Linked DNA regions of Mus musculus. The protein of the gene in region 1 purifies or fractionates together with the protein of each later gene. This does not show direct contact. Links are inferred from orthologs where the notes say so. Each region holds a gene or a part of one and is shown in the gene's direction. Other genes may lie near its edges. The genes, in order: Cbx1, Adnp, Ehmt1, Ahdc1, Zfp280d, Zfp644 and Chaf1b.

Region 1 (4,153 bases):
TAAAGTGCTCTTAAACTCCCAGCAATCCTCCTGTCTCAATCCCGGGTACTAGGATTAAGAGGCTTGAATCTGGCCTTGGAAAGTTTGATCAGTTCTATTATCAGTTGGACATCTCAGTTATTCACTTAATCACATATTCAAGGAATTTTTACCAATAAATACTGAGAGTCAAAACGTGACCTTGTGGCCGGGCGTGGTGGCGCACAACTTTAATCCCAGCACTCGAGGCAGAGGCAGGCCGATTTCTGAGTTTGAGGCCAGCCTGGTCTACAAACTGAGTTTTGAGAGAAACCCTGTCTCAAAAAAACAAACAAAAACAAACCAACCAACCAACCAAACAAACAAACAACCAAAATGACCTTGTCCTTGCTAGAAACAAACACCAAGGATCCTGAGTGTCGTGGACACAATGAGTCATATGAAGCGTCTGTCCTTACTGGAGTTCCTAGTTCAACAATTAGCAGCAACCTACCTGAATCAGAGTAGCACCCGTGTTAAAGAATGACAGCCCAGCCGTGGTTTTTGCTTAATTCCGTTTCTTTAGACTAACTTGATAAAGGATGTTCACAGAGATGGAGAAATCCCCATGAAAGTCACCCACCGGCAAGGGCAATAAAGGGAAAACTTTGAATGTGGTGGTCTGTGTTTGTAATACTCGGCATTTGGGAAGTGAAAACAGGTAGATCAGACTTCCTTGAGACCCTGTCCACTCAACAGAACCAACAACCAAAAATAAAACAAGAATAGAGAGGGAAGGAAGGGGAAAGAAAAAAAGCAAATTCAGAAAGTGTCGATGGTGTCTACCTAGACGGTTAATCTACTGCTTTCTGAATGGAGCAGTGATTCAAACTGAGAGGTAGGAACCCCAGTCAGGTGGCAATAATAGGTAAGATTGCTGGACATTATTGAAGGTGATTTGATAAATCTCAGGTGACGAATACAATATTTTTCTTTTAAACGCAAACGGACCAAACATCAACGGGCTAGTTTCCAAACCTGCAGTGTCCTACTTTTGTAGACTGAGTAAGGAATACCAGCACGCGCCTGGAATCCAGCACTTTGACATTTGAAGCAAAAAGAAAGGCCACGAGTTCGAAGCCACCTGGGCTGCGTATCCTGTTATTAAACAAACAAACCCCACCACTACCCATCAATTTCCTAGACTGTAGAGTTATGTTCTAAGTAACAGTCGACTTCGCCTTTCCAGTCAAAAAAGAAAACAAAACTACGAAAACTCCCTACAATCCTTGAAAGTGGAGGTGGGCGGCGCGGGATTCGCGCGGTACTTTGGGATCTGTAGTTTCTGGCCGACTCTTAATCCCAAGGTGCCCTGCGGCGGGTCGTCGCGTCTGCGCAGTGCAGGCGGCGGGCCGCGCAGAGTGAGAGGCTCTTTTGTTCGGCTGAGGGGAGGGCCGTTAGCGGGGCCTGCGGTACGCCGCTTCAGCGGGACGGTCGACTTGTGGCCACACGGCTCTTTGCTCCTCTGGGCGCGCTACTCCCCTCGGACCGCCCGACGCAACGCGCGAGTAGCGCGGCACCGATTCCTCTCGGACTCTCGGGCGCTGCTACGAGGTGAAGAGGCGGGCTGGAGGCGGGGTGTGTGGGGGGAGGGGACGCGGCAACGGCGGGAGGCCGCGGACCAGCGCGGGCCGCTAACGGAAGAGCGGAGACCGAGGAATGGGGGGCGCGCCCCGGCCCAGCGCCCGCCGGGTCCGCTTCCCGCGCAGAGCTCGCGGGTTGCGGGAGTGTGGAGAGGGCGGGGCAGCGAATCCAGAGCCCGGGAGCCGAGTGGTTCGCGATGAGCGGAGCCAGCGGAGGGTTAGCTTTTCAAGAACTGGACCAAGAGCGTTTGACCCGAGTGAGGGACTCTAGAGTTGGGCGGGAGAAAGAAAACTTTGGGACGTCCATAAGGGGGACAGGTGCTTTTGGGTGTGCGTGGCAGGGACCACGACTTCGTACTCTCGAGGTTTAGAAATGTAACCTGAGAAAGCGGACACGGTGGCAATCGCAAGCAACCCCCGTAGCACTTGGAGGAAAGAGAGAAAAAGTAACCTGAGGATATTGGGTCCAGTTGCCACTATCAGAGAAGTTTCTCTTGCCAGAGTTAAGAAGAAGTAACTTCCAATAAACTTGAACAGGAGGATTTGGGCAGCTCACGGTGTGCTAGCGGGGAAGAGATTTGTTGAATCCGTCTAGGGGTGGGGGTGGGGGGTCAGGCATTTTCTTGACCTTGTCTAAAAGTGGAGTTGCTGGGATAGGTAGGGTAGAAGTCTAGAGTGACTGGTCAAATGTGGAAGAAAATAAAGGGTCCCTGGGGATGTAACTTAGTTGGTAGAATGTTTGCCTAGCCCACTGCACAGGCCTGAATTCAATCCTCTGTACCTTATAAATTCGGGCTGGGCTTGATGGCATTCATGTAGCCCTTGGGAGCGGAAACAGGACGATCAGGAGTTTAAAGCCTTGCCTGGCCACCAGGGGAGTCAAGAAAGGGTGAAAAGGCCACTTTGTGCCTTGTAATGGGTCTTCAGTGTGAGTTGGGAGGCTGTGGAAGAACACGTGTAAGGCAAGACTCATCCAATGAAAGAGATCTGTTCTTTGTGCGTAAGCCTGGGGGCCTCAGTTTACCTCTCAGGATCCAGGTAAAGGTGGAAAGAGCGAGCAGACTTCACAGAATTGCCCTCTGAGCTACAAATTAGGGAAATGGCAGGGACCCTCGAAAGCAGGTGCATGCCCACCGGCAGCGAGAATATTTTTATTTAAAAAGCAGTATAGAAATATAGAACTCATTTCGGTGTGTGGTACTGAGGACCTTGCACACATGTAAGTTATCTACCACTGAGTTATGTTCCAATACCATAAAAAGGTTTTTTGAAAAATGAGTTATGCTAGAACATAGGGTAACCTCTCCAGTTTTGTGTTAAGAATCATGTCAGCTTTTTGGAATAGTTTCAAAAGACCTAAGGTTTTCTGGTAGATGTATGGCTACAATCAAGAAATTGGTGCCTATACACTTCCTGGATGCTCTCTAGGCATATCTGGGAAGTGGTGTGTTGAAAAGAGCCCAGTTAGGCCTTGCTGCATGCACTCCTGTAATCCCAGCCAGCACTCGGGAGGTGGAGCCTGGAGCAGCAGGAGTTCAAGACCTAGGAGGAAGGAGGCTTTGCTTCTTAAGATCTGGGCAGTGAAAGATCATTTCTGGTTTCTGTTTGTTCAACTTTTTATCAATAGCTTTATGATAGATTATTTAAACCTTCCCTTCTAGGTATTTTTCTGAGCAGTTAAGAAAAGTAGAGGAGGGTTGGAGAGATGGCTCAGCGGTTAAGAGCACTGACCGCTCTTCCGAAGGTCCTGAGTTCAATTCCCAGCAACCACATGGTGGCTCACAACCACCTGTAATCGGATCTGACACCCTCTTCTGGTGCATCTGAAGACATCTACCATGTACTTATTTATAATAATAAGTAAATCTTTGGGCAGGAGCAAGTCAGGTTGGCTAAAGCAAGCAGAGATCCTAAAATTCAATTCCAAGCAATCACATGCATGCTCACATCTATCTGTACTGCTACAGTGTACCCATGTACATTAGATAGATAGATAGATAGATCCTTTTAAAAAGAAAAAGGGAAAGGGGAAAAAAACTATTGTGTGTCAGGCAGTGGCTTGATTTTTTTTTTCTTTTCTTTTTAAAAAGATTTATTTATTATATAAGTACACTATAGCTGTCTTCAGACACACCAGGAGAGGGCATCAGATCTCATTACATATGGTTATGAGCCACCATGTGGTTGCTGAAATTTGAACTCAGGACCTTCGGAAGAGCAGTCAGTGCTCTTAACCGCTGAGCCATCTCTCCACTACGATTTTTCTTTCTTTTAAGACTTATTTATTGAATGTATGTGAGTGCATTACATAAACATTCAAAAAACACCAGGAGAGGGCATTGGATTCCATTACAGATGGTTTTGAGCCACCATGTGGTTGCTGGAAATTGTACTCAGGACCTCTGGAAGAGCAGTTGGTGCTCTTAACCACTGAGCCATCTCTCCAGGTGTCCCCCCCACCTTTTTCCTGTTTTTTTTTTTTTTAAGTGGGGGGTGGGGTGTGCCATTGCATACTTATGGAGATCAGGAACAACTTTGGGGGTGGGGGTCAT
Region 2 (3,928 bases), on another chromosome or scaffold:
TTAAATATATGTTCTAATAATTGCAAAAAATAAATGTTAGGTGGAAGTTTGTTCAACTTCCCAACCAAACCCTTAGACACTGAGCTGTCTGTATATATAGTCTGATTCTTTCAAAATTTGCAACTTTGTAGAGACCTCATGTTGGGGGAGGGGTGGCCAATCCTTCACAACTGCACTTGCTACTTTGTAGAGCTTTTAGCCATCCTTATCTACGGTAGGGTAACTACTGTTCCTTTAAAGTGGACCGAGGCTGTTGATGTTGACATGGTATGTTGGTTGGGGATGATCCAAAGTTACAAAGCCAACAGTGCAGGTGCTGTCACATACCAGAATTGTGGGTGAGTGCCAGACCGTTTTCATCCTTAGCCATTGACAATCCAATGGCCTCAACTCTACAAATCCCACTTTTTTTTTCCTTGAGTCAATGGTAAGTGGCCATCTGATGACTTGAAGGAATGACTTGAGTCCAAGGAACAGCAGAAGTGAAAAGCTGAGTCCCTGTCTATCCCATACCAGTTCACTAGAAGAGCTGACATGGCCTCAGAGCTGTGTCATCTCAAAAAATGGGAGGAACACGAGGGCATCACACCTCATTAAAGGCAGGAGGCAGCAGGCTCAACCCTTGGCTTTGCCTCCAGCTTGGGAGAGCTGACTCTGAGCACGTGGGCCTTGGGCAGCCCCAGGCGCCCTCCTGCCAGATGTAGTTCAGGCCCAGATGGGCCCGCGCAGGGATCCCCAGTGCAGCCACCTGACTGACTGTCGAGGCGTGCTGCGGCCCGCTACTTCTGCCTCCGCCGGCGGCGCTGCGGTCAGAGGAAGGCACCCAGGAGCGCAGTGCGGCCATTATCCACGGCGCCTCCTAGTGGGGCAATGGCAAAGCCTCCACGTTCTCGCGAGAGCTCCCCTCAGTGGGGATTATATAATCTCACCCAGGAGAGGCTGGGGGGGGCTGGGGCCACCCTGCCATAAGGAAAGTGGGTGTCGCCGCAGCCGAGGACCGAAGAGCTCTCCCTTGGGGGGGGGTCGCCGAGTAGGGGGTCCATGGCCCCCGCCCCCCCCCAGCTGGACAATGAGTCCTCTTATGCTAATGAGTCGCTTACGTCACTTCCGCTCTTTCTCGGCCGCCATTTTGGCTAGGGCAGGTTCGGGGACTTGCTCTGAGGCGCTTGTATTGTCTGCTGAGGGGAGACGCGGGACCAGCCCCCTCCCCCGCCCGCCGCCGCCGCCGCCACCCGTCCGGTCTACCCGCCGCCGCCGGGACCCATGAGCTGAGCGCCCGCCCGCCGCCATCTTGGCCCCCTCCCCCTCCAGCCGCGCTCGCTCGGGGGGGATTTGGCGTCGCCTCAGCCACAGCTCCCTCTCTCGGTCTCCGCCGCCGAGGAGCCGCGCGGCCGTCGCCGCCCGCCTGCCCGCCCGCGACGGTGAAGCCGCGGCCCCACGCCCTCCGCCGCCCTCCGCCCCTCCTTTGTCTGCACTGCCCGCGCCGCCGCCCGCCGCTCTGCTGCGCCCGCCGCGCCCCCCGGCAGCAGCCGCGGCCGCGGCTCGAGCCGGAGCCCGAGCGCGACGAGGCCCCGGGCGCGTCCTCGCCGCCATCGCCGTGCCGCCGTCCACCCGCCGCCGTGCTCTAGAGCACGCCGGCCCCGCGCACGCCTCGAGGCCGAGCCAAGGTAAGCCCCGCGGCCCTGCCCGCCGCCGATCCCGGGCGCGGTCATTGTGCTCGGCGTGCACACACCGCCTCGAACCCCAGTCGGCCGCAGCCCTCCTGCAGCCCGATCCCCTTCTCCGCCCCGCGGGGCTGCCGGCCGGCCACCATGGGCTTTTGCGGCTAGTGGCATCTTCCCGCACCCACCCCGCCCCCAGCCGAACCCCGCTCGCTCTCTCGTCCTCAGAACTAATCCCCTCCCGCCCTCCCCCAGTCCCCGGAACCAGCCTTCTGCCAGGTCTGCCCACCCTAGGCTTGGAAAGGGGGGAAAGGCCTGGGGGGCGGGGAGCGTGCATGGCAGAGGGTGAAAGTCTTTGCCTCCCCAACAACATGCCAGTTTCCCTCCCATCCTAACCACCACAGCCCCTCACCGGCCCTGCTTTCAATCTGGGCTACCTGGTCAGCACTCCCTCTTTAGAGCTTTCTGATCAACTTTGCAGTCAGAAAATGGAAATCCAGAAAGCCGCGGAAAGAATTTTTTTCGAATGCAATGAATGGGGAGTAGTTCTTTGAGCACCCTCTTATTCGCCTCTTCTTTCCTCTGAGCTGCCTGTCCTTCTCCTCCCTTCCCCACCCTACCCCCAACCTGGATGCCTGTCTGCTAGAAAAGGCGCGATTGCTTCTCTTCTTCTCTCCAAGAAGTCTAATACTCATTTTAGTCTCACTCCCTGCCACACACCCCAAGTGTCTTCTCAGTGTTCTTCCAGTCACCAGGTCCTCTGGACAGTTCTTGTCATAACCCCATTTCACAGACAAAGGCTTAGGAGGGAAAAAGAACCAAACTGTTTCCTGTGTTAGCCATTTTAATGCTGTCCAGCCCCAAACGCCCAGTTCCCATCCCTGATGCTTCTTGTGCCTGTATCTTGAACCTTCACAATGGGATGTGTGTCGGGGGGTGTCTCTTGGATAGCTTTGTGCAGTTTCTTTATAAATCTGCATTGTTGCTTCTGGTTTATGGTCATGGAGAAAATACCAGCCCCCACCCAAAAGGCACTGCAGCCAAGTCGGTTAAAGGCACTGAGTGTGGGAGTCAGTAGGGGGCGCATTCCCTGCACTGGGTAAGGCTGCAGAGGGGGGAAGGGCCCCAGAACTAGAACAGGATGTGCTAAACAGCGCCTTCTACAGACCATGGGAAAATGGGTCCAGCAAGACTTGCACTGGGTGAGCTGACAGCAACATGGCGAAGGATTAAGTGAGGCTAGAGAGATTTTATTTAAGAAAGCCACTTCTCCGTTTGGAAAGTTGTCTTTTTTTACTTTTTCAAACCTGTTCACCCTCAGACTTTGATTGCTGATCAGTCACCTTGGTGCACATCCTTGGGTCATAGGTTCCCTTTCTCAAGAATTCCTTCACCTTAAGGTTTGATGTGTTGACATCTCTTTCCTAGGCTAGGTGGTAAAGGGGGTTGTTTAAAACCTGAAAGTCACGGGCTTGGGAGATCAGGTCAATCCAAATCTCTCCGACTCTTTTGCGAGTGGAAAGTCATTCTTGAGAGGTTTTATGGGTTGGTGATTTTGACAGCCATGAAAGATGGGTGTCAGGATTTGCAAGGCTTTGTTGGTAAACATCAGGTCCCTATTGAGTTCTTCATTGTCAAACTTAATAGAGTTCACTGCAAAATTGTGTTGCCTTCCACTTTCAGCAGTACACTGTCTGTAGCCAACTGCCTTTGCAAGTGTTGACACCAGTCTTGGTTCGGTGCGCACCCACCTTTTTAGGGTGTGTGGATTTCTGTAGATTTTACTCCTGTTGTTATTTCCATAGGTGTGAGATGCACAGTACGAAACCTAGGCCCCAGCTTTTACATCGTGATGCACAGGGTTGCACTTTTTGTACTGAACTGATAGGTGGCCTAGTGGTTATTCCCTGTACTGCCATTTTGAGGATCTGGACTCCGTTCCCTGCCTTGCTCTTTGGACTGCATTGTCAATTCACACCGGTGGGTATATCATTTTGGAGGGTGGGGACTGCAGCATCAGGAAAGCTAGAGACTTCCTCCTGATCACCACCAGAACATGAACTTTCAAAATTTCAGCCTCGCCACATTCCTCAAGGAACTCGTTAGAGCTGGTTGCAGTAATGGGTTTTGAACGTTTAAAATATGTGTCTCTTTTAAGAGAAAAATTTAAAGTCGATGATGTTGTTGTAATCATTTGCATTCTGCACTTTTGGACATAAAGTTTTAAGTAGTCTATCTCAAGACTTGCTCAGCATCTGAAAGCCTTA
Region 3 (4,180 bases), on another chromosome or scaffold:
ACCTAGTGCTGGAATTAAGTTAGAGGTGCATGTCACCGTATTTGGCTGTGCTGGTGACTTTACTACTGTGTTCCATCTTGGGAACACATCCCATAATTTGTGCCTTAATACCGCCCCCTTTAAAAATTTTTTTTTTTAAATTTTTTGGTTTTCGAGATAGGGTTTCTCTGTGTAGCCCTGGCTGTCCTGGAACTTTGTAGACCAGGCTGGCCTCGAACTCAGAAATCCACCTACCTTTGCCTCCCAAGTGCTGGGATTAAAGGCGCGTCCCACCACCGCCCGGCATACCTCCCCCTTTTTAAATTTTACGGTACTGCCTTTCAGAAGTCTTCTTATAGCCTCAATGCTTCTGGCATAATGTGTGCTCATCACTGGAACACATTTTTCATATCCTTAATCAACAAATACAACTCTTTTCCATTTTAGCACTTATGCCCTATGGCTGGAACTTTTGGAATGTGAAGTTCAACAGCAGAACTAGCATAGATTTCTTTTACAATTTCATCGGAAGTGAGTTCTTAGCGTTCTTCTCTTGGCTACCCCATGTTTCAAACTTGTTTATTGCCCGGCAGTGGTGGAGCATGCCTTTATTTAATCCCAGCTCTTGGGAGGCAGAGGCAGGCAGATTTCTGAGTTCAAGGCCAGCCTGGTCTACAAAGTGAGTTCCAGAACAGTCAAAATTATACAGAGAAACCCTGTCTCTAAAAAAACCAAAAAGAAAAAAAAAAAAACCCAAAAGAAAAACAAAACAAAAAAACCTTGTTTATTGAAATCTTCTGCCTTTCCGCTTAAAGGGAGCACTTTATGGTTCTTTAGGATTTTGGTAAGGTCTCATCACCTTCCCTGCATTTTGGGGGTCACTAATAAATAGAATAAGGATTGTCAGGACTCAAGTTTATAGTGTGGAAACCCAGTGGGACGTTGACAGTCAGCAAGTCAGTAGTAGCTCGTAGTGTAAACAAGTGGTACAAAAGGGTGGTCAGCCAGCACCCAGCGGAACCAAGCGGAAACTCGATTTCCTAGGCTCACTCAGAACGGCACATAACTTTGAAACGTAGGGATACCTTATTTCTGAAACTTTCCAAGTAATATTGGTGGACTGCAGGTAAATGAGAGAGAGCGAAACCAAAGAAACGGGAAACAGAGCAGCTCCTTTTGGTGACCTCTCAGCTCCAGGAGCCCAGGTTGAATTTCAGCGCGCAGGCGCCACCTGGCCTCGCCTCCAGACGCAGGCGCCGCACGGGTGGGTCCCGGTGCGCAGCCGCGGGTGCTCACGCAGGCGCAGGAGTGGCCGGCCAGCCCCGCCCCGGACCTAGGCCGCGAGGCGCGGGCGGGGCGATGGCGCGCGGGAGGGGCGGGGCCACGCTGCGGGCCCGGGCCATGGCCGCCGCTGATGCTGAGGTGAGGTGCGGGGCCGGCTGTCGGCGCTGGGCTGCAGGCCACGGCTGTGATTGCAACAGCCGCGGCGAGGGGACAGGAACCCAAGCGAACCACGAGCTGGGTGGGGCCGCGCGCCCCCGCTGCATCGGGCCCGGCTGCGCGGAGGCCCCAGCGTCCGGCCCGTGCTCCGCCGGAGCGCTTTGTGCACGGCGGGCCCGAGCAGCAGCGGCGGCGGCGGCGGTGGTGGCGGCGGCAGTGCGGTGGCGGACGGTAGGAGGCCGCGGCTCCGCATCCCGAAGCCCGGAGCTTGACCGCGGCCGGGTCGGAGCGGGGGTGGCGGAGACAAAAGGCAAAGTGGACCGGGCCAACTTGTGCGCGCCGGAGGTGAGGCGGGCCTGCGCCTGCTGCCCCGCTCCGTGACCTTTCACTCGCCGCGAGAGCGTGGCACCATCTTTAAGGAAAAGTTGGCCGGTCCCGCGCGCCTCCCGCGCACAAAGCCGCTGCAGCAGGGTGACCACGGGCAGCACGCTCGACAGAGGAATGTCTGCGGACCCAAGTTTATTTCTTCACCAATGGCACTAAAGCGGCGGGAGACGGCGAATTAGCGGTCTTTTGTTCGCGTGGTGGCTTTCCCTCTGCTCTTTCTGCGGGATAGTTTGCTTCCTGGTTTTTGCGGCGTAGACGTTATGGCCGGGAGAGAGGGACCGCTGTCTTCCCGGAGCTGGGAAGGGCCGGCAGGAGTCCGGGGTCCTCAGAACGCACTAGAGTTGTGTTCGTAGGGTCGAAGTACGGGGCCGATTTGGAAGAAAGTATAACCTAACGTTTTTCTCCAAAATTTGCAGAGGGAATACTTAGCTTTTGGGATTTCCAGACCTCAGAAAGTGAAGGTGTATTGAGAAGCTAGCACATACGGTGCATTGGCTTAGCAGTACATTTTACCTCATAGTGTATGGTCCTTGTGTTTCTTTCTTCATTCTCGCCTTTTTGAGGGGTATTCGTATAAGTGAATGGCTAGTTTTCAGATCTAATGGAAGGAGGATTTGTTGAGTACTTGGAACGTTCAAGAACTGACTTTGGCACCAAGAACACAAATGTATATGAGATAATCTAAGTCATTTCCAGGAGTGTAAGGAAGGAGATACATAGTGAATCTCAATCATTTATCGAGCATTTATGTTTCTGGTGTTGTTTAAACCCCTCTGAGGGGTTATCCCATCCAGGTTGTATAATGTCTCGTGCAGCAAGTATTGTTATTTCCTATTTAGGAGATGAAGACAATAAGACTTTGCAGGGGTTAAGTAACTTTGCTTGATCAGTTGTAGGCCTGGCTATTTTTCTTTTTAAAGACTTATGTATACGAGTGCTCTATTTGCATGTATGCCTGCATGACAGAAGAGGACATTCAGTCCCATTAAAATGATTGTGAGCCAATGCGTGGTTGCTGGGAATTGAACTGAGGACCTTTGGAAGAGTAGCCAGAGTAGCTCTCTTAACTGCTGAACTGTCTCCCCAGCCCCCAGCTTTGCCATTTTTCAGTGCTAGACACATAGTTGGTGTTTATTCTGATTGAAGAAGCTGAGTGTGGTAGTGCCTGCTTGTTATCCTAGCACTTTGGAGGCCGAGGCAGGAGGATTGCATGTTCAAAGCTAGCCTGGTTGTAGCTTATTTCAAACCTGCTCCTCTCACTCTCAGAAAAGGGTGGGTGTCAGTGGTCTCCAGTTTCTTTGATTTTACAGGCAAATTACATAGATTGTGTGTGGGGTGAGCTTGTGCCTGGTCCCAGCCCCACTGTAGGCATTTTGTGCATACTGTAGCCTGTAAACATGACAGTAGTCTTACCAAGTAGGTTCTCTGGTATCCCTTTGCAGGCAAGGCAAAAGGCACATAGCCCCAGGATTACAAAGGGTTTGATGCATTAGAAGACACAGGCTGTTTCTACAAAGCCCATGCTTACAAAACCATGACTTATACCTGTGTGGAGTTGTGATTTTAAGTGTTATCCTTGAAGTACATGACAGGTGTACTTATAAGTACACAGCTCTTATACAGTACTGTGGAATTGGATCAGCATGGCTTCATCCTCATTGATTCTTGAAATATTTACTGGTTAGGGTTCACAAATTGTGGAATGATTTAACCCAGGAGAGGTGACACTTGAAACTTACCTAAATCCCCATCTTCCCTCTACCCCAACCCCCAATACCTTTTCACACTAAGAACTACTTAGGTAGTGGAGAGGTTTATTCATGTGTCTCCTATTCTCTAGTTTGCAGGTTGGTGTGGGCTCCTCCACTTCTTGGGTTTAAATGTATGTCCCAGTCACAGGATCAGACTGTGTCTGATACATAGGGCTTTCTTTTTCTTTTTTTTTTTTTTTAAAGATTTATTTATTTATTATATGTAAGTACACTGTAGCTGTCTTCAGACACTCCAGAAGAGGGAGTCAGATCTCCTTATGGATGGTTGTGAGCCACCATGTGGTTTCTGGGATTTGAACTCAGGACCTTCAGAAGAGCAGGGTGCTCTTACTGGCTGAGCCATCTCTCCAGCCCCACATAGGGCTTTTGTCTCAGCAAAAATGTTATCATATAGCAGGAGGGCCTTCCAAAACAAAATCTGTACTTAATAGGGTGGCTAATATGTATCTTTTTATTAAGATTTTTAAAATTACTTAATTTTTTGTGCACGAATTTTTTGCCTTTATGTATAACGTTATGTGTATGAATGTTTTACATTTTGTATTTCCGGGTCAGGTGTCAATGGAGGCAGTGAAACCGTGGAACTGGAGTTAGGGTGGTTA
Region 4 (3,500 bases), on another chromosome or scaffold:
GACTGGGCTGGATGTGGGCAGTAGGAAAGGCAGAACTTCATAGACTAAGGAAGGTTGAGGGGCGCAAGAAAAGGCCCCTTTCTATATTCTTGCCACTGTTTCTCCCTCGGCGTCATTGTTGGATCTAGAAAAGAATAAAAAAAAAAAAAAACTTGATGAGAGCCAGACATGGTGGCCCATGCCTGCAGCAGCCCCTGTTCACTGCAGAGCTGTTGCAGACTCACAGAGCTTGATTCAGCAAGCGACGGGGCAGATAGGCTTGCCTTCCTGGGGCTTGGAACCCTTACTGGATGGCTTCTTTAAAGATGGGCAGGATAATTGATCTGTGAATGGCAGGGAGGTTAGATGAGATAATCCATTAAAGTGCTTGGTGCTGGCAGCAGTAAAGTGTCCCAAAGCCTTTATAGTCACCTTCCTGGTGACTCCCAGGCCCTTGGTCCCAGGCACTTTCTTCACTTGTCTATGCACCTCTTGCTTAATTCACCGATTCCTAAGTCAGGTAGGGCTTTGCCTGTTCAATGTCTGACTATCAAGGCCTTGTACAAAGTAGATATTCCATAAATAGTGAACATGTGAATGAATGAACCAATGAGTGAATGATATTAGTTCATGTCTGAGCCTCCATTTCTTCATCTGCAAAATGGGGTTATTAATAGCCCCTACCTCACAGGATTGGTATGAAGAATCAAATGAAGCAATGCCTGGACAGCTTCCAGCCCAGTGCCTGGCGTGCAGTAGGTGCTCACTAAACCTGAGCTACGGTGGTCCTTTCCAGGCGCTGTCCACACCCCAAGGCCTGGGCTCAGGCCGAAGTTGCTCCACAACACCCCCAGCTGACAGCCATCGACTGGCAGAGTCCCCAAGCACGGGGGCCCTCTGTTTACCAGGTCAGTCAGGAGGAAGCCCTGAGGGAGCTGGGGTGGCATCTGGAAAGCTGTGGGGCTGTGTCTGGGTAGCAGGGTTAGTGTGGATCCTGAACCATTCGGGGAATTGAGCTCTGATCATGTCTTGTTGCCCACAGAGATAACCAGTGTGACGGCCCAGGCGGCAGAGCCGAGGGTGAGTACAGCCTGAGGAGCAAGGGTGAGGAGGAGCGGCATCGTGGTGAATGGGTCTTCCCAACCTTCTTCAGTTTTGTGTCTAGTGTTATGTGGAGTGGTCATCTTGCCCTGCTACCAGGTCTCCCTCGCCAAGATATGGGGATCTTGTCATCTCTAACCCCATAGCCTATAGAAGTGGGTCAGTTGCCCCTGGGTGCTGAGGCCCATGAGGAGTTCAGTATGTACACATGACAGAAGACCAGAAAGGTTCAAGGGCCCCTAAGGATGTGAATGCTAGGTGAAGAACTCTTGCCTCTCTTTCCTTGGCAGGTTCTGGTCCCGGCTTCTCGCACCCTCATGTCAGCCCTGGCCCCGCCCGGCGGCCCGAGGAGGACAAGGTCAGGATGCGTGTGAAGCCCCAGGGCCTGGTGGTGACTTCCAGTGCCGTGTGCAGCTCTCCTGACTACCTCCGAGAGCCCAAGTACTACCCCGGCGGCCCCCCAACCCCCCGGCCCTTGCTTCCCACCCGGCCCCCTGCCAGCCCACCTGACAAGGCCTTTTCCACCCATACCTTCTCTGAGAACCCACGCCCACCCCCTCGGCGGGACCCCAGCTCCCGCCGTCCACCAGTCCTTGCCAAGGGAGACGACCTGCTACCTCCTCGGGCAGCCCGGCCTGTCTCCCAGGCCCATTGTCCCTCACCGGCTCCAGACAACAGCTCCCTCCGCCACTGGGACAACGGGCGTGTGAACCTGCGTCCAGTAGTGCAGCTGATTGACATCATGAAGGACTTGACAAGGCTGTCGCAGGACCTGCAGCACAGCGGTGTGCATCTGGACTGTGGAGGGCTTCGGCTGAGCCGCCCACCCGCTCCGCCACCCGGCGACTTGCAGTACAGCTTCTTCTCTTCGCCCAGCCTGGCCAACAGCATCCGCAGCCCCGAGGAGCGTGCTAACCCTCACACCAAGTCAGAGCGGCCCAGCCACCCTCTCTATGAACCTGAGCCCGAGCCCAGGGATAGTCCCCAGCCTGGCCAAGGCCATGGTCCTGGAGCCGCGGCCACAGCCACTGGTCTGCCCCCCGAGCCCGAGCCAGATGGGCCTGATTACTCTGAGCTGGCAGATGCCGACATCCTCAGTGAACTGGCCTCCCTCACTTGCCCTGAGGCCCAGCTCCTGGAGGCTCAAGCCCTTGAGCCGCCTTCACCACAGCCTGAGCCGCAGCTTCTGGACCCCCAGCCCCGCTTCCTAGATCCACAGGCACTAGAGCCTCTAGGAGAAGGTTTGGAGCTACCACCCCTGCAGCCCCTTGCTGATCCCCTGGGGCTGCCGAGCCTGACCCTGCAGGCCCTAGATACCCTACCTGATTCCTTGGAATCCCAGCTCCTTGACCCTCAGGCCCTGGACCCCCTGCCCAAGTTGCTGGATGTCCCCGGTCGACGTCTAGAGCCCCAGCAATCCTTGGGCCACTGCCAACTGGCTGAGCCCTTACGCCTGGACTTGTGCTCACCTCATGGTCCCCCTGGGCCTGAGGGCCACCCCAAGTACGCCTTGAGGCGCACTGATAGGCCAAAGATCCTGTGTCGCAGGCGGAAAGCCGGAAGGGGCCGGAAGGCGGACTCAGGACCTGAGGGTCGCCTGCTTCCTCTTCCCATGCCTACAGGGCTGGCAGCTGCCCTGGCCGAGCCCCCACCGCTGCCACCGCCACCACCTCCTACTCTGTCAGGCCCAGGCCCAGTTCCCGAGCTGGAGCCAGAGTCTTCTCAAACCCCGATGGTCCCCACCCGCAAAGGCAAGTGCAGGGGTGTGCGGCGCATGGTGGTGAAGATGGCCAAGATCCCCGTGTCACTGGGGCGGAGGAACAAGACCACGTACAAAGTTTCATCCTTGAGCAGCAGTCTGAGTGTGGAGGGCAAGGAGCTGGGCTTGAGGGTGTCGTCAGAGCCCACCCCACTGCTGAAGATGAAGAACAACGGGCGGAATGTGGTGGTCGTCTTCCCGCCAGGTGAGATGCCCATCATTCTCAAGCGCAAGCGTGGCCGCCCTCCCAAGAACCTGCTGCTGGGTCCCGGGAAGCCCAAAGAGCCGACAGTGGTAGCTGCTGAGGCTGCTACTGTGACAGCGGCCACCATGGCCATGCCTGAGGTGAAGAAACGCCGGCGACGGAAACAGAAGCTGGCGTCTCCGCAGCCATCGTATGCAGCAGACGCCAATGACAGTAAGGCTGAATATTCTGATGTCCTCGCCAAGCTGGCCTTTTTGAACCGCCAGAGTCAGTGTGCTGGGAGGTGCTCGCCACCCCGCTGCTGGACACCCAGTGAGCCTGAGTCCGTGCACCAGGCCCCGGACACTCAGAGCATCTCTCAGTTCCTGCATCGTGTGCAGGGCTTCCGGAGGCGTGGAGGCAAAACAGGAGGCTTTGGAGGTAGGGGTGGAGGCCACGCAGCCAAGGCAGCCCGCT
Region 5 (3,500 bases), on another chromosome or scaffold:
TCACCTGTAAGAAGACTACTGGATGATGGTTTTTTTTTTATTTTATAGCCTAGAATTTATATTTTATTAGACAAGACTTTTCTACCCTTCGTAAAAACTTTCAAACATTCATCACAAAACTGAAAGTTTGACCTTGCCCCCTTGCTTCTCCCCGCCCCTCTTTACTTGTTTCACTGTTTGTCTTTCTCCTTTAAACAATCTGAGTTTTATAAATTAATTAAGCTATTGATAAAAACTGATTATTTTTAAATGTATATTTCAAAATAAGTTACATGCATGAGTATACTTATTTTAGATAAGTTGTACTTTAGGAGTGGATGTGGGTCAAGTTTGGGGAGAGGGTGAGAATATATTTAAAACATAGAAAACTTGATCTCCAAAAAGACAAATTAAAAGAAGATACTGTACACAAATACACATGTATATCTTTTATAGATACTAAAAGAACTTTCCAAATTAGCATTTTGTAGACCAGCAGTTATCCTCTTGGGCCCCTGAGTTTACTCACTTCTGTCTCGTGTGGCTGCTGCTAACATGATGCTCACAGGCCTCTTTGTGCATTCCAGAGCTCTTAAACTATTTCACTCCTTCAAGAACTAATGCTCCCAGTATTTTGTGTTTGGGATGTAATACTGAAGCAGCATTGAAATTGACCTCCACCACCTAGTCCCATATTCTTATTGTTACAAGATTCAGTCAGGGAAAGGTTAAATGTGTACAAGTGGGTTTCACTGTCTTTGTTAACTTCCTTGTTAAGTATACATTCTGCAATTTATTTTAGCAAAAGTGTTGTTTGTCTTTTACTTTTACGATTAGCCCATTTAATATTAGACATGAAAAATAACTTTTTCTAGGAATTATTTTAGGACATTAATTCCATTTGTTTATATTAGAATATTTAGAAAATTTAAACATATGACTTTTAGTAACATAAACTGAACATTGAAAGCTTTTACTTGGGAAATGTACCCTTAATGGTATAGTAAATACCTTGTGACAAAGGAATTAAAGATAGAGTGTTTTGTCAGTAAAATTTGGGAAGGCAAATTTTTTTTTGTTATTTTGCTTTTGTTTTTGAGATAAGATTTCATTGTATAGACTTGGCAGGCCCAAACAAAACCAAGAGATCTACCTTCTTTGATCCTGAATTGCTAGTATGTGCAAGTATTCCTGGCCTTGCAGTTGTTTATAATTTGTATAATGGTACAAAACATATCAAGATTTCCATTTGATTTCTCATACAGGTTTTTAGTTACTGCTTTCTCCCCCATTGGGTATCACTAAAAACAGATCATTGTAAGAAGTTACCATATATTGTCTTGGGAACTATGCATTCCAGTTAGGTCTTATGTAAACATTGAGAGAAATCAACTAGTTAGTTAATACATTACTTTATATAATTATACTTTAGTGCTTTAAGGGCTGAGCTCAGAATTTACTAGCTCATGCTGTTTTGCCTATATGCAAATATTTAACCAAGACTAGGTTTTTAAGTGTTTTGTAGAGCTCATGTTAAAACCAAAGGGGAGCCAGGCATTGTGGTGCACACCTTTAATCCCAGCACTTGGGAGGCAGAGACAGGCAAATTTCTGAGTTTGAGGACAGCCAGGGCTACACAGAGAAATCCTGTCTTGAAAAACCAAAAAACAAACAAACAAACAAAAAACCCCAAAGGCAAAATAAAGATCCTTCAAAGTGTATTACAATTTGTGTTGAGGAGATACTGTTCTTCAGAGACAGGAAAAAGAAGAGATAGATGTCATAGCTTTCATGGTGTCTGTTCTCTGGATTGATAACATTTTCATATAGTTTCATGCTTATTTCCTTTGAAGCCTCCAACTGGATGATATTTATTAATTTTATTGGCCCAGTCTAAATTTTCTTTTGATCAAGTAATACTACTTTTTATTTCAGCCAAAAGCTTTAGTAAGCTTTTAAAAATAGATATATTCCCATTTATACCACACTTACAAAGGTCATAGTTCTGTTGATAAGAAACCTTGTAGGGATGCTGAAATAGCAAAGTGTAAAACTGAAAAATGGATGTTGCCTTACAAAGGGCACAGTCTGCAAGTTAAAATGAACAGTTTATGCTTACTATAAACAATATCACTAAATAAATGAAAAGTTCCTTGTACTTGTAGGCATTAAAACTGTTATTATATGTACTTCAAAACAAAGATACAGGTAAGAATACTAGTAGCTAGAATTTATTGTATATCTTCAGGGTCTCAAAGAATTTCTCCCATGACTCTAGCTACTTTTGCTGACAGGATTTTCTTTCTTTCAATATTGAATTTTAAAATATAAATAGTACTTCACATGGCAAAGGAGAGTTATTTTATCTAAAAACAATCATCTGAAAGTAGTGACATTTGAAACAAAGATGGAAAAAAGTATCTACTTAGCCATTTGTGGTCATTATTTAGGACATGCAGTTTCCTAGAGAAGGACTCTAGGTTTTGAGTAATAATTCACTTTTTTTTTTTTAAATAGTGGGTTAAGATATGGTGGGATCTTCTTTGATTTTTTAATTTGAATCTCTCCGCCTGTTGCCATTTGCAGGTTTATGAACCACATGAAGCACCATTTGGAGCTCGAGAAGCAGAGCAGCGAGAGCTGGGAGAAGCACACCACGTGCCAGCACTGCTACCGGCAGTTCCCCACGCCCTTCCAGCTCCAGTGCCACATCGAGAGCACCCACACTCCTCATGAGTTCTCCAGTGAGTTACTTCTCAGGATTAAGGAAGCTCAGCAAATCTTGAGAAAACTGTTACAGAAATAAGAACAAGAAATAGACTTTGGATTTTGGGGCCAAAATTACAAAAGCTAACTTACTTCAGGCTTCAGTTCAAATCCCAGATGTTTGTCTTGGTGTAGTAGCTACATAAGTTCAGGCAGGTTATTTGGTACTGAGACAATAGGATAACAGACATGCCTTTGTGGTAGTGCTAAAAGAGGAATTGACTGAGTTATGCATGTGTATATGTATGGCTGCTTACCACCTCTAATACTGCCACTTCTGCTGACAAATTTGTTGACACTGTTATCCAAATGAGCTTTTATTATTTATATATTAAAATGTTGTAATAACTCTTCCTTTCATCTATAGCCATTTGTAAGATCTGTGAGCTATCATTTGAAACTGAACAGATTCTCTTACAACATATGAAGGATAACCATAAGCCTGGTGAAATGCCATACATCTGCCAGGTACGTCATGTTTTATAGTGTCATTAACTGTTGTTGTTTTGGTGTTAGGATTTGTAGCAGGGTTTTTGGTTTTTTTTGTTAGGACCAAACAGTAAGCATTTCATATTAGAGATACTACAGTCTCTATCACAGCTAGTCAACTCTCCGTTGTGGCAAGTCAGCAATGGCAGTAAAGGACTGCAAGGATGTATCTGTGTTCTACTATATGGATTTCAAATTTTAAATTCTATATAATTTTCATGTATAGTGAAATATATTGGTGGTGTTTGTTTTATTTTTGCCATCTA
Region 6 (4,191 bases), on another chromosome or scaffold:
ATGTGCCCTGAAGTATGCAAGGCTTGGTTCCAGGTGATAGGCCTTTGAGTTCTGCAGGTTAACAGACCTGGTGGGTCAGGAGACATGGCTCACTGGCCAAGAGTACCTTATGTGCTTGCTGGGGACTCAGGATCAGGTCCCTTGTGATATTTCCACATGATGGCCTGTCATTTGCAGCTCCAGTTTCAGGTCCTTCCTGAGGCTCATTTGGACTCTGTGGTACCAGGCATGAAGCATGCGGTGCACAGCCATACATTCAAGCAAAACCCAAACTCATGAGATGAGAATAAGTCTCTAAAGTGCATCTCCTCCAAGCAGTTGGCTGAAAATGGACACAGATTTATTTGTTGTGTATCTATCTATTCGTATATATGAAGGAAAGCTTTCATTTTGAAACAGCTCAACAGTCTAATCTCTCTTTGCCACTTTAGGTTGTAATGAACTTGAACAGGTGACAAGAATGCCTGACACACACACAGCATGAACTCTAGTTGTCAGCAGTTACTAGCAAGCGAAATAATTAGAGTGGATAGTGAAATGTTCGTTCTTTGGGATACATTTGCTGCTTCTGAAGGCACCGTTTTTCAGGAAAGATACTCCCATTCTTGACAAATAAATGTAATTATGGTGTATTCCTGTGAATGTTAATAATATCTCGAAGGCTTGGAGGTGCATAGTTCATGATTACTGCTTAACTACTAAAAAACGTTTTAAAGTTTTTCATGAGAAAAAGTTCAGCGAAACCAAAGAATTTAGTAAGGCAGGCCCATCAGAGTATTCTAGAACGTTTAGCTCACCTTCAACAGGTTAGGAACTTGTTGACTCGGTTCAAAAGCAAAGCGAATACCTCTAATTAGTGCGCTGCTTCCCTCAGAAGCCCATGGCTGAATGCTTGTTAAAAGGGAGATTTAGAAGACCCTCTGGGGAATCTATTGATTACCTGAAGAGTTAACCAGCATTTCTGACGTCTCTTTGCATGACTCCAATTTGGACAATCAAGGCATGTTCCTTAGTGCAGAATCTGCCCTTGCAGAGTCCAAGGAACCCAAATCCGGGCCTTCTTTTTGGGTGTCTTGTCTGGGTAACTGAATTTCTATACCTGATGCTTTTGCCACCTGGCCTGTTTAACATCATAAAACCTGTCTGTGCCAGTTCTCCAAGGTAGGCCTGATATATGTTGCTGGTTCTTTCAACAGCTGGAAAAGGGAACAGGTTTTTGGCAAACTAGCGATTGCAGACACCAGAGATGGGCCTATTCCACCTTAAAGGGCCTAGGCATTCCTGGTACTTGGGTCTTGCAGAGTTTGGTCGCCACCATATTTGGAGCGTGCCTACTTTGGGGCGGGAACCTCCTCCGGAGTGGTTAGGTCACCGCTGGGGGAGGTGACCTTGTTTGGTTTTGGCACGGGAGAGCAGCGGTGCAGCGTTGCTGCCGCCCCCCGTGGGTCTGATTGGCACGGGAGCTCCGGCGGCCCGAGAGCACGGGCGCGCCTCGCTGGCTTCCCCCGGCGGCCGGCGGCCAGGCAGAGGCGGGAAAGCCGCGCGCCTGCGCCGTGGGAACCGAGGCCGGAGGCGAGAAGCGGGGAGCGGAGGGGGCCGTTGGAGCCGAGTAGCGTACAGAGCGGCGTGTGACGCGGGGACGCCGCGCGCTCCCAACGTCGCCCCGGTTTGACGCACACGGCACCAAACTGTGAGTTTCGGGGGTCTTATTCGGTCGGATTAGCCCCGGCCCCGGCCGCGTTTCGGACGTCCGGGCTGAGGCGGTGGCGGGACTGAGGGTGGCGGAAGAAGTTGTGGGGGGACCCGGCCCGCGGCGCTCGGGCCCGGGGAGCTACGCCCTAGGCTGGCTCCCAACCCTCGGAAAGGACGCGTTTTGCCGCACAGGCTAAGATGGCGGCTGCTGCCGAGGAGGCGGAGTTGCTGCTGCACAAGGAGCCCGGGCCGCGGGGTCCGGGAGGCGGCGGTCGCGGGGGGCCGCGGAACCTTAGGTGAGCGGCGGCGGCCGCCGCGGGGCGGGACTCGGAGGCGGGCGCGCGGGGCGGGGGGTGCCTTTCCGCTGCGGCGGCGGCGGATCCGGTGGCGGACACAAAGGGGCCGAGCCGGGCTCTGGACTCGGGGGGTTTTGTTTAGTCACATGTAGCGGAGCAGCCAGTGAGCGGTAGGGGGAAGGGGGCCGAGACCCGGAGGTCCGGGGAGCCCTGCGGTCGCCATTGTAACTCCCCGAGTAACGGGGGCGGTCCGAGAGCAGTCAGGCGGCGCCCCGTGCGCGGCTAGGCTACTCTGTCCGGGCCTGTAGCCCCGGCCCTGGAGGTAACTGTCCACACCCCTCCCCTGACTTTGGGACCAGAGCGCATAGCCTTCCCCTTCTTCCCACTGGTCTGCAACATCTTGTGCCGCTAAGTGCCTGAGAAGTAACTCCAAGAGGTAAAAAAAAAAGAAAAAAAAAGAAAAAAAAACACTCGAAGTGTTTGGGTGGCCACGGGGCTTGGTGGGTATCTAGCTAAAGCTTTTTGCCTCTCCAGGTCTGATTCCCTGGCCTTTGTGTCCCTGGGAGCTTAATCTCTGCCAGAGGAAAGCAGGTGTGTGCTCCGTCCACTCCTCCCGAGAACATGAAGATGAGTTGTCCCAGACCCTTCCCCGTGATTGGAAACTTAGGTGGTTTCTTGTTGCGAGACTTCCACAGACGACTCTCGTGTTGGGATCCATCCATGGTTTAGCGACATTAGTGGAAAAGTTCTCTTCAACTGTTAAAATAATACTGACTTAAATGTAGTTGTTATAAAACTTTCGTATTAGCTTTCAAATTTTATGTGATAAAACTCAACGAGGGGATGCCCACGGCTTGTGGCCCTGAAATGATGTTGGTCCTGTTGTGTGCACAAGTTAATTTCCACAGAAGTATCCAAACACCATCACGTGTTGTGGCCAGTCCTGACTGATGCCAAGTTTACTGCATCTGGGAGATGTGTTGGATTTGCCTTAATCGTGTTGTAGTTTAGTTAATTTTGGCCCCACGAAGGAAAGTGTTTCAGAACCTAAACAACTAAAGTTCCCCAGATCAAGAAAACCTGCTTCAGGGCCATGTGTAAGTATCTAGGGAACTAGGTGTCAGCTATACAGCTGTACCTTATTTCCAGTAGGTTTGGTAAGAAAGAAATGGAGATTCTATATTGAAGTTATAATTCAGTGTAGACCTTTAAACTGGTGAAACCTGAGTGCTTGACTGGTACTAATGCAGTTTGTATGTTGCTGTTGAAAATATGGCTGTAAAAAGTTTTAAGTACTTTATATTGTGTTTGCATCATGCATTGTATTTCAAGTAATACTGAAGTGTGAATTCCAAAAGAGCTGGTGCCTTGTATGTGCCATTAATATAATCACATGAAGGAATATTACACCTTTAGATCTTTGAATTTTTTTTTTTTTCTTTTTTTTTTTTCTGAGACAGGGTTTCTCTGTATAGCCCTGGCTGTCCTGGAACTCACTTTGTAGTCCAGGCTGGCCTCGAACTCAGAAATCTGCCTGCCTCTGCCTCCCAAGTGCTGGAGTGCTGGGATCAAAGGCGTGCACCACCACCGCCCAGCTAGATCTTTAAACTTTTTAACATTACTTAAAACTTTAGTTTTCCTCGTTTCTTAGCTTTCTTTCAAATACAGAGAAGTTTTGTATTAGGAGGCAGGAGATATGCTAACAATCAGATGTGTCCCCTGGATCATACAGTATTAGAAAGGAAGATGGCCAAGAGCTACTGTTCTTACTCATGGCCTTAGCCCTGTAGTGAGCGAGTTAATGCTGGGATGGAAGACGGTCTCTAACTCCTACCCTAGTTCTAGTTTTGTTAGCACCTGGTAGTGGTTTTAAAAACAAGGGGCATTACTGAGCATACCCGTTAATTAAAGTGTCATTAGTGAGACCTTCTGAGACAATACATTTAATGTTATGTAATTTTTAGCAGTGCTGCTTATGTATATATTTTGAGCACTTTCCAACACTGACATGACCCAGAAATGTAAAAGTTAAAAACAAGGAACATGCTTGATAACTAATCTTGGAAAGTTGGAGATAATTGCTGTTACTGCTGCGAAAGTCCAAGGAATGTTGAAGGCCACGCTAGTATCTCTCACTTGGTAATGCCATTTTGTTGGATAAACACATAGGCCTCTCACACTACTATTTAAGTGACTTTTTAAG
Region 7 (3,500 bases), on another chromosome or scaffold:
TGCACGTGCACACATACATACATAGTTAAGGCTCCATAACTGTGTTTCCCTTTGGTCTGGGGAAGCTCTGTGCTGCTGTCTCCTCTGCTGAGGGCCTTTGTTAGCCTGCTCAGCTCAGGCCTCGCCCAACCATCCTTCAGTTTCTGTGACCTAACTTGTCACTCTTTCTCCTCTCATATTTTCCCAACTCTGGTTTGTTTGTTTGCCTTGAAGCTCTTTGTAACCAAGGCTGGCCTTGAACCCTGGATACCCCCTACCTCCTCTTCACCTGGTGTGCACCACCAGGTCTGGCTTCAGCTCGCTCTTTGAAGCGCAGATCGTTTCCCAGCTAGCTGGTCTTGGCCTGCTCTTTGCCTACAGAGCTCTCTGACTGCAGTACCTCTCTTTCCTTCCATCTTGTTTCTGAGTCCTCCCTTTCATCTCAGCAGTTCAATGCTGCCACCATCCAGGGTCTAAGCTGCGAGTGAGGGATTCTCCTGTGCATGTCATCCCTCCCACCCCCGTCCTACCTTCTCAGGGTTGCTATTGTGAGGAGACACCATGCCCAAGGCACCTCTTATAATGGACAACATTTAATTGGGGCTGGCTTACAGTTCAGAGGTTCAGTCTGTTATCATCATGGCGGGAAGCCTGGCAGCGTACAGGCAGACATGGTGCTGGAGAGGGAGCTGAGAGTTCTACCTCTGGATCCTCAGGCAGCAGGGAGTGAACCTAGACACACTTCCTCCAACGAGACCACGCCTACTTTAACATGGCCACACCTCCTGGTAGTACCAACTCCCTTGGAGCATGTGGGGCCATTTTCTTTCAAACCACCATACTAGCCAACCCAGAGAACTAAACTGAGGGCTCTGATATTGCTCCTAATTTCTCGAACCCACACAGCCTCATGCTTGCTCTACATCCTGGCTGCCTTGAGTGCTGCAGGGGTGGGGGTGGGGCTGTGTGGAGTGATCTTTGGGTCCCCTGAGTCTGACTCGGCTTCTCTGAGGTTGCTTGCAGAGTGGCAGACAGGACGTAGGAGACAGTGCCAACATTGTGGTTCCTGCAGCGTGCTTCCTGGAAATCTTGATAATAACTTTCTCGTGCTTCTTTGTAGGGCAGAAAATTTCCATTTTCAACGAGCATAAAAGTTATGTGCAAGGAGTCACCTGGGATCCTTTGGGTCAATATATTGCGACCCTGAGCTGTGACAGGTTCGTAAGTAACATGAACGTGTTTTGCAAATGTTTTATCGCAACCTTACTAAGGGATCGATAGTCCAGCTTTGGCTTTTTTGTTTGGATCTGCTATTCTGACAAGACAGGAATTAGAGACGAATTAGGCCAGGTGCCCTGTGCAGACCTGGCACCAGTGAATCTTTACCGGATGGGTGAATTGATGTAGAAAGAACTCTTATGTTTGCCTGCATGTATGTCTTTGTACCAGGTGTGTGCCTGGTGCTCTTGGAGGCCAGAAGAGGGCATTGGGTTCCCTGGGGCTGGAGTTACAGTTGGGAGCTGTCAGTGCTGGGAACAGACTGGGCTTCCCTACAAGAGCAGTGCATGCTCATAGCCACTGGTGCATCTGTCCGCCCCGTTAGGAAGAGCTTTAGCATCAAATAAACTGAATCACACTTGACTCAAGGGGACAAGCCGCAGACTCGCAGTAGGTTGTTACTGTGTGAGACCCAGTTCCCGTGCTGGGATGGGACTCAGACTGCTCTTTCTTCAGGGTGCTGCGGATCTATAATACCCAGAAAAAGCGTGTGGCTTTCAACATTTCAAAGATGCTCTCTGGACAGGGGCCTGAAGGAGAGGTAGGAAGTACTTATCATTTTTTCATGGGTGTGTGTTTTGTGTGTGTGTGTGTGTGTGTGTGTGTGTGCCCACACGAGTATGCCTTTGGCATGTGTGTATGCATGCATATGTATGTGTGATATTCACGTTTGGGCACATGTGTGAGTGTGTGTGCAAGAATATGTGTGTGTGTTAAGAGTGCAAGTACGCATACAGGAACATGCACACACGTGTTACAGTGTGCTTCTGAAGGTCGGGAGTCAGTTCCCTTAGTGCACTGTATGGGTCCTGGGAACTCAGATCAACAGGCTTGGTAACAAGTGCCTTTTACCCTCCGAGCCATTCAGCAGCCCAGCATAAAATATCTCGCCCTTTGAGATCTGGTGAGTCTTGGGGTTGTCCTTCCTTGCCTCTGAATCACGGCACTTGCCCGACCTGCTGGCCAACTGATGAGGCTTCTCCTTGGACTGCCTTGTTGGCGTGCCAGTTCTAAGTGGTGAGCCTCTGTGGAGGGTTAGAGGCTTTCAGGTGATTTCAAGCTCTGTTACCACAGGCAAGAAGTTTCCGGATGTTTCACGACGACAGCATGAAGTCGTTCTTCCGAAGACTCAGCTTTACTCCAGATGGATCTTTGCTCCTCACTCCAGGTGTGCCTGACGGCATGTGACATAGGGGTGTGATGGCACCACAGGGACGGCTCTGTTCACTTCAGCTCCTGCAGGTGTGAGCGGAGTGGTGGTGCAAGCCTTGTACCAACCGACTACTGCATGCCATTTGTTCTGAGTCATGGTCTCGCGTAGCTCAGGCTGGTGCTGAACTCGGGTAGCTGAAGGTGATCCTCAACTTGTGATCCTCTTATCCCAGTTTCCTGAATGCTGGGATCACAGGTGTGCAGCCCAGGCCTGGCTGGGAATGTAAAACTTCCATATGGTAAAGGTGTAGCAGACTAAGTCAGTAGACACATGGTGGAAGCGCCACCTGGTGCCTTTGATACAATGTATCCTATACCTCGGCCCTCTCACTTGGCAAGAAAACAAAACACAAAAGATGAAAACCTGAAAGAAAAACTGAGGACTTAGATGAAGCTCATTAGTCAGGTGTGTCCAAGGTGTGTAAGGCTTTGGGGTCAACCCTTAGCACCACAGATAGACCAATGAGTGAAAGCAAGGTATAGATTACATCCAGGACAGGTTCTGATACCCGCCAACAGGCAAATGCAGAACTGAACTGTGTGGCAACTTAGATGTTGCTATTCTGTTCAGGTTGAAAAAAAAAGCAACAGTTCCCATTATAGCTGAGCAGAAGGTGGGTGTTGCCGCTTGGGAACGTGGCTTGTTTAGAATGCAGCCTGATAACGCCATCCAGTCCTATGCCTCACAGCTGAGACACAATTCCTTAGCAAGGAAATCAGGAATTTCTCAGTGAATCTGTCAGCTACACGTGGTAGCATTTTGCTATACTCCAACACTTGGCAGGTGGAGGTGGGAGAAGACCCAGGCCAACCTTGGTTCTGTAGTGAGTTCAAGACCAGCCTGATATGTGTGAGACCCTGGCTCAGACAAACAAATTAAAACCAAACCAATAAAATCAGTCAATCTCTCCACCCAAAACCCAAATCCCTCAAACTCCCAGATCAGCTTCTTGGCAGAGGACTGGTTTTCTGCTAGTAAATATTACAGAGTGACCAAAGCAGGGGGCCGTAGCACTGCAGAGACTGACTTT

Evidence for each region.
Region 2: the proteins of Cbx1 (region 1) and Adnp purify together in Homo sapiens (affinity purification with mass spectrometry; 6 studies listed by BioGRID and IntAct, with this or other methods). This does not show direct contact. The link is inferred for Mus musculus from reciprocal best matches to the Homo sapiens genes CBX1 and ADNP.
Region 3: the proteins of Cbx1 (region 1) and Ehmt1 purify together in Homo sapiens (affinity purification with mass spectrometry; 3 studies listed by BioGRID and IntAct, with this or other methods). This does not show direct contact. The link is inferred for Mus musculus from reciprocal best matches to the Homo sapiens genes CBX1 and EHMT1.
Region 4: the proteins of Cbx1 (region 1) and Ahdc1 purify together in Homo sapiens (affinity purification with mass spectrometry; 4 studies listed by BioGRID and IntAct, with this or other methods). This does not show direct contact. The link is inferred for Mus musculus from reciprocal best matches to the Homo sapiens genes CBX1 and AHDC1.
Region 5: the proteins of Cbx1 (region 1) and Zfp280d purify together in Homo sapiens (affinity purification with mass spectrometry; 4 studies listed by BioGRID and IntAct, with this or other methods). This does not show direct contact. The link is inferred for Mus musculus from reciprocal best matches to the Homo sapiens genes CBX1 and ZNF280D.
Region 6: the proteins of Cbx1 (region 1) and Zfp644 purify together in Homo sapiens (affinity purification with mass spectrometry; 3 studies listed by BioGRID and IntAct, with this or other methods). This does not show direct contact. The link is inferred for Mus musculus from reciprocal best matches to the Homo sapiens genes CBX1 and ZNF644.
Region 7: the proteins of Cbx1 (region 1) and Chaf1b purify together in Homo sapiens (affinity purification with mass spectrometry; 4 studies listed by BioGRID and IntAct, with this or other methods). This does not show direct contact. The link is inferred for Mus musculus from reciprocal best matches to the Homo sapiens genes CBX1 and CHAF1B.

The regions. Positions count from the first base shown.
Region 1 is NC_000077.6:96,787,782-96,791,934, forward strand, and holds the start of Cbx1 (chromobox protein homolog 1), read left to right. Parts: upstream 1-1,353; 5' UTR 1,354-1,572; intron 1,573-4,153. UniProt on the Homo sapiens protein: Component of heterochromatin. Recognizes and binds histone H3 tails methylated at 'Lys-9', leading to epigenetic repression. Interaction with lamin B receptor (LBR) can contribute to the association of the heterochromatin with the inner nuclear membrane.
Region 2 is NC_000068.7:168,204,313-168,208,240, reverse strand, and holds the start of Adnp (activity-dependent neuroprotector homeobox protein), read left to right. Parts: upstream 1-1,128; 5' UTR 1,129-1,667; intron 1,668-3,466; exon of another isoform or gene 3,467-3,641; intron 3,642-3,928.
Region 3 is NC_000068.7:24,916,775-24,920,954, reverse strand, and holds the start of Ehmt1 (histone-lysine N-methyltransferase EHMT1), read left to right. Parts: upstream 1-1,380; coding exon 1,381-1,401; intron 1,402-1,428; exon of another isoform or gene 1,429-1,764; intron 1,765-4,180. UniProt on the Homo sapiens protein: Histone methyltransferase that specifically mono- and dimethylates 'Lys-9' of histone H3 (H3K9me1 and H3K9me2, respectively) in euchromatin.
Region 4 is NC_000070.6:133,060,006-133,063,505, forward strand, and holds part of Ahdc1 (AT-hook DNA-binding motif-containing protein 1), read left to right. Parts: intron 1-656; 5' UTR 657-887; intron 888-1,021; 5' UTR 1,022-1,059; intron 1,060-1,370; 5' UTR 1,371-1,444; coding exon 1,445-3,500. UniProt on the Homo sapiens protein: Transcription factor required for the proper patterning of the epidermis, which plays a key role in early epithelial morphogenesis. Directly binds promoter and enhancer regions and acts by maintaining local enhancer-promoter chromatin architecture.
Region 5 is NC_000075.6:72,319,888-72,323,387, forward strand, and holds part of Zfp280d (zinc finger protein 280D), read left to right. Parts: intron 1-2,565; coding exon 2,566-2,723; intron 2,724-3,112; coding exon 3,113-3,213; intron 3,214-3,500. UniProt on the Homo sapiens protein: May function as a transcription factor.
Region 6 is NC_000071.6:106,694,031-106,698,221, reverse strand, and holds the start of Zfp644 (zinc finger protein 644), read left to right. Parts: upstream 1-1,391; 5' UTR 1,392-1,690; exon of another isoform or gene 1,691-1,988; intron 1,989-2,003; exon of another isoform or gene 2,004-2,424; intron 2,425-2,522; 5' UTR 2,523-2,579; exon of another isoform or gene 2,580-3,085; intron 3,086-4,191.
Region 7 is NC_000082.6:93,890,401-93,893,900, forward strand, and holds part of Chaf1b (chromatin assembly factor 1 subunit B), read left to right. Parts: intron 1-1,099; coding exon 1,100-1,196; intron 1,197-1,713; coding exon 1,714-1,798; intron 1,799-2,331; coding exon 2,332-2,425; exon of another isoform or gene 2,426-2,499; intron 2,500-3,500. UniProt on the Homo sapiens protein: Acts as a component of the histone chaperone complex chromatin assembly factor 1 (CAF-1), which assembles histone octamers onto DNA during replication and repair.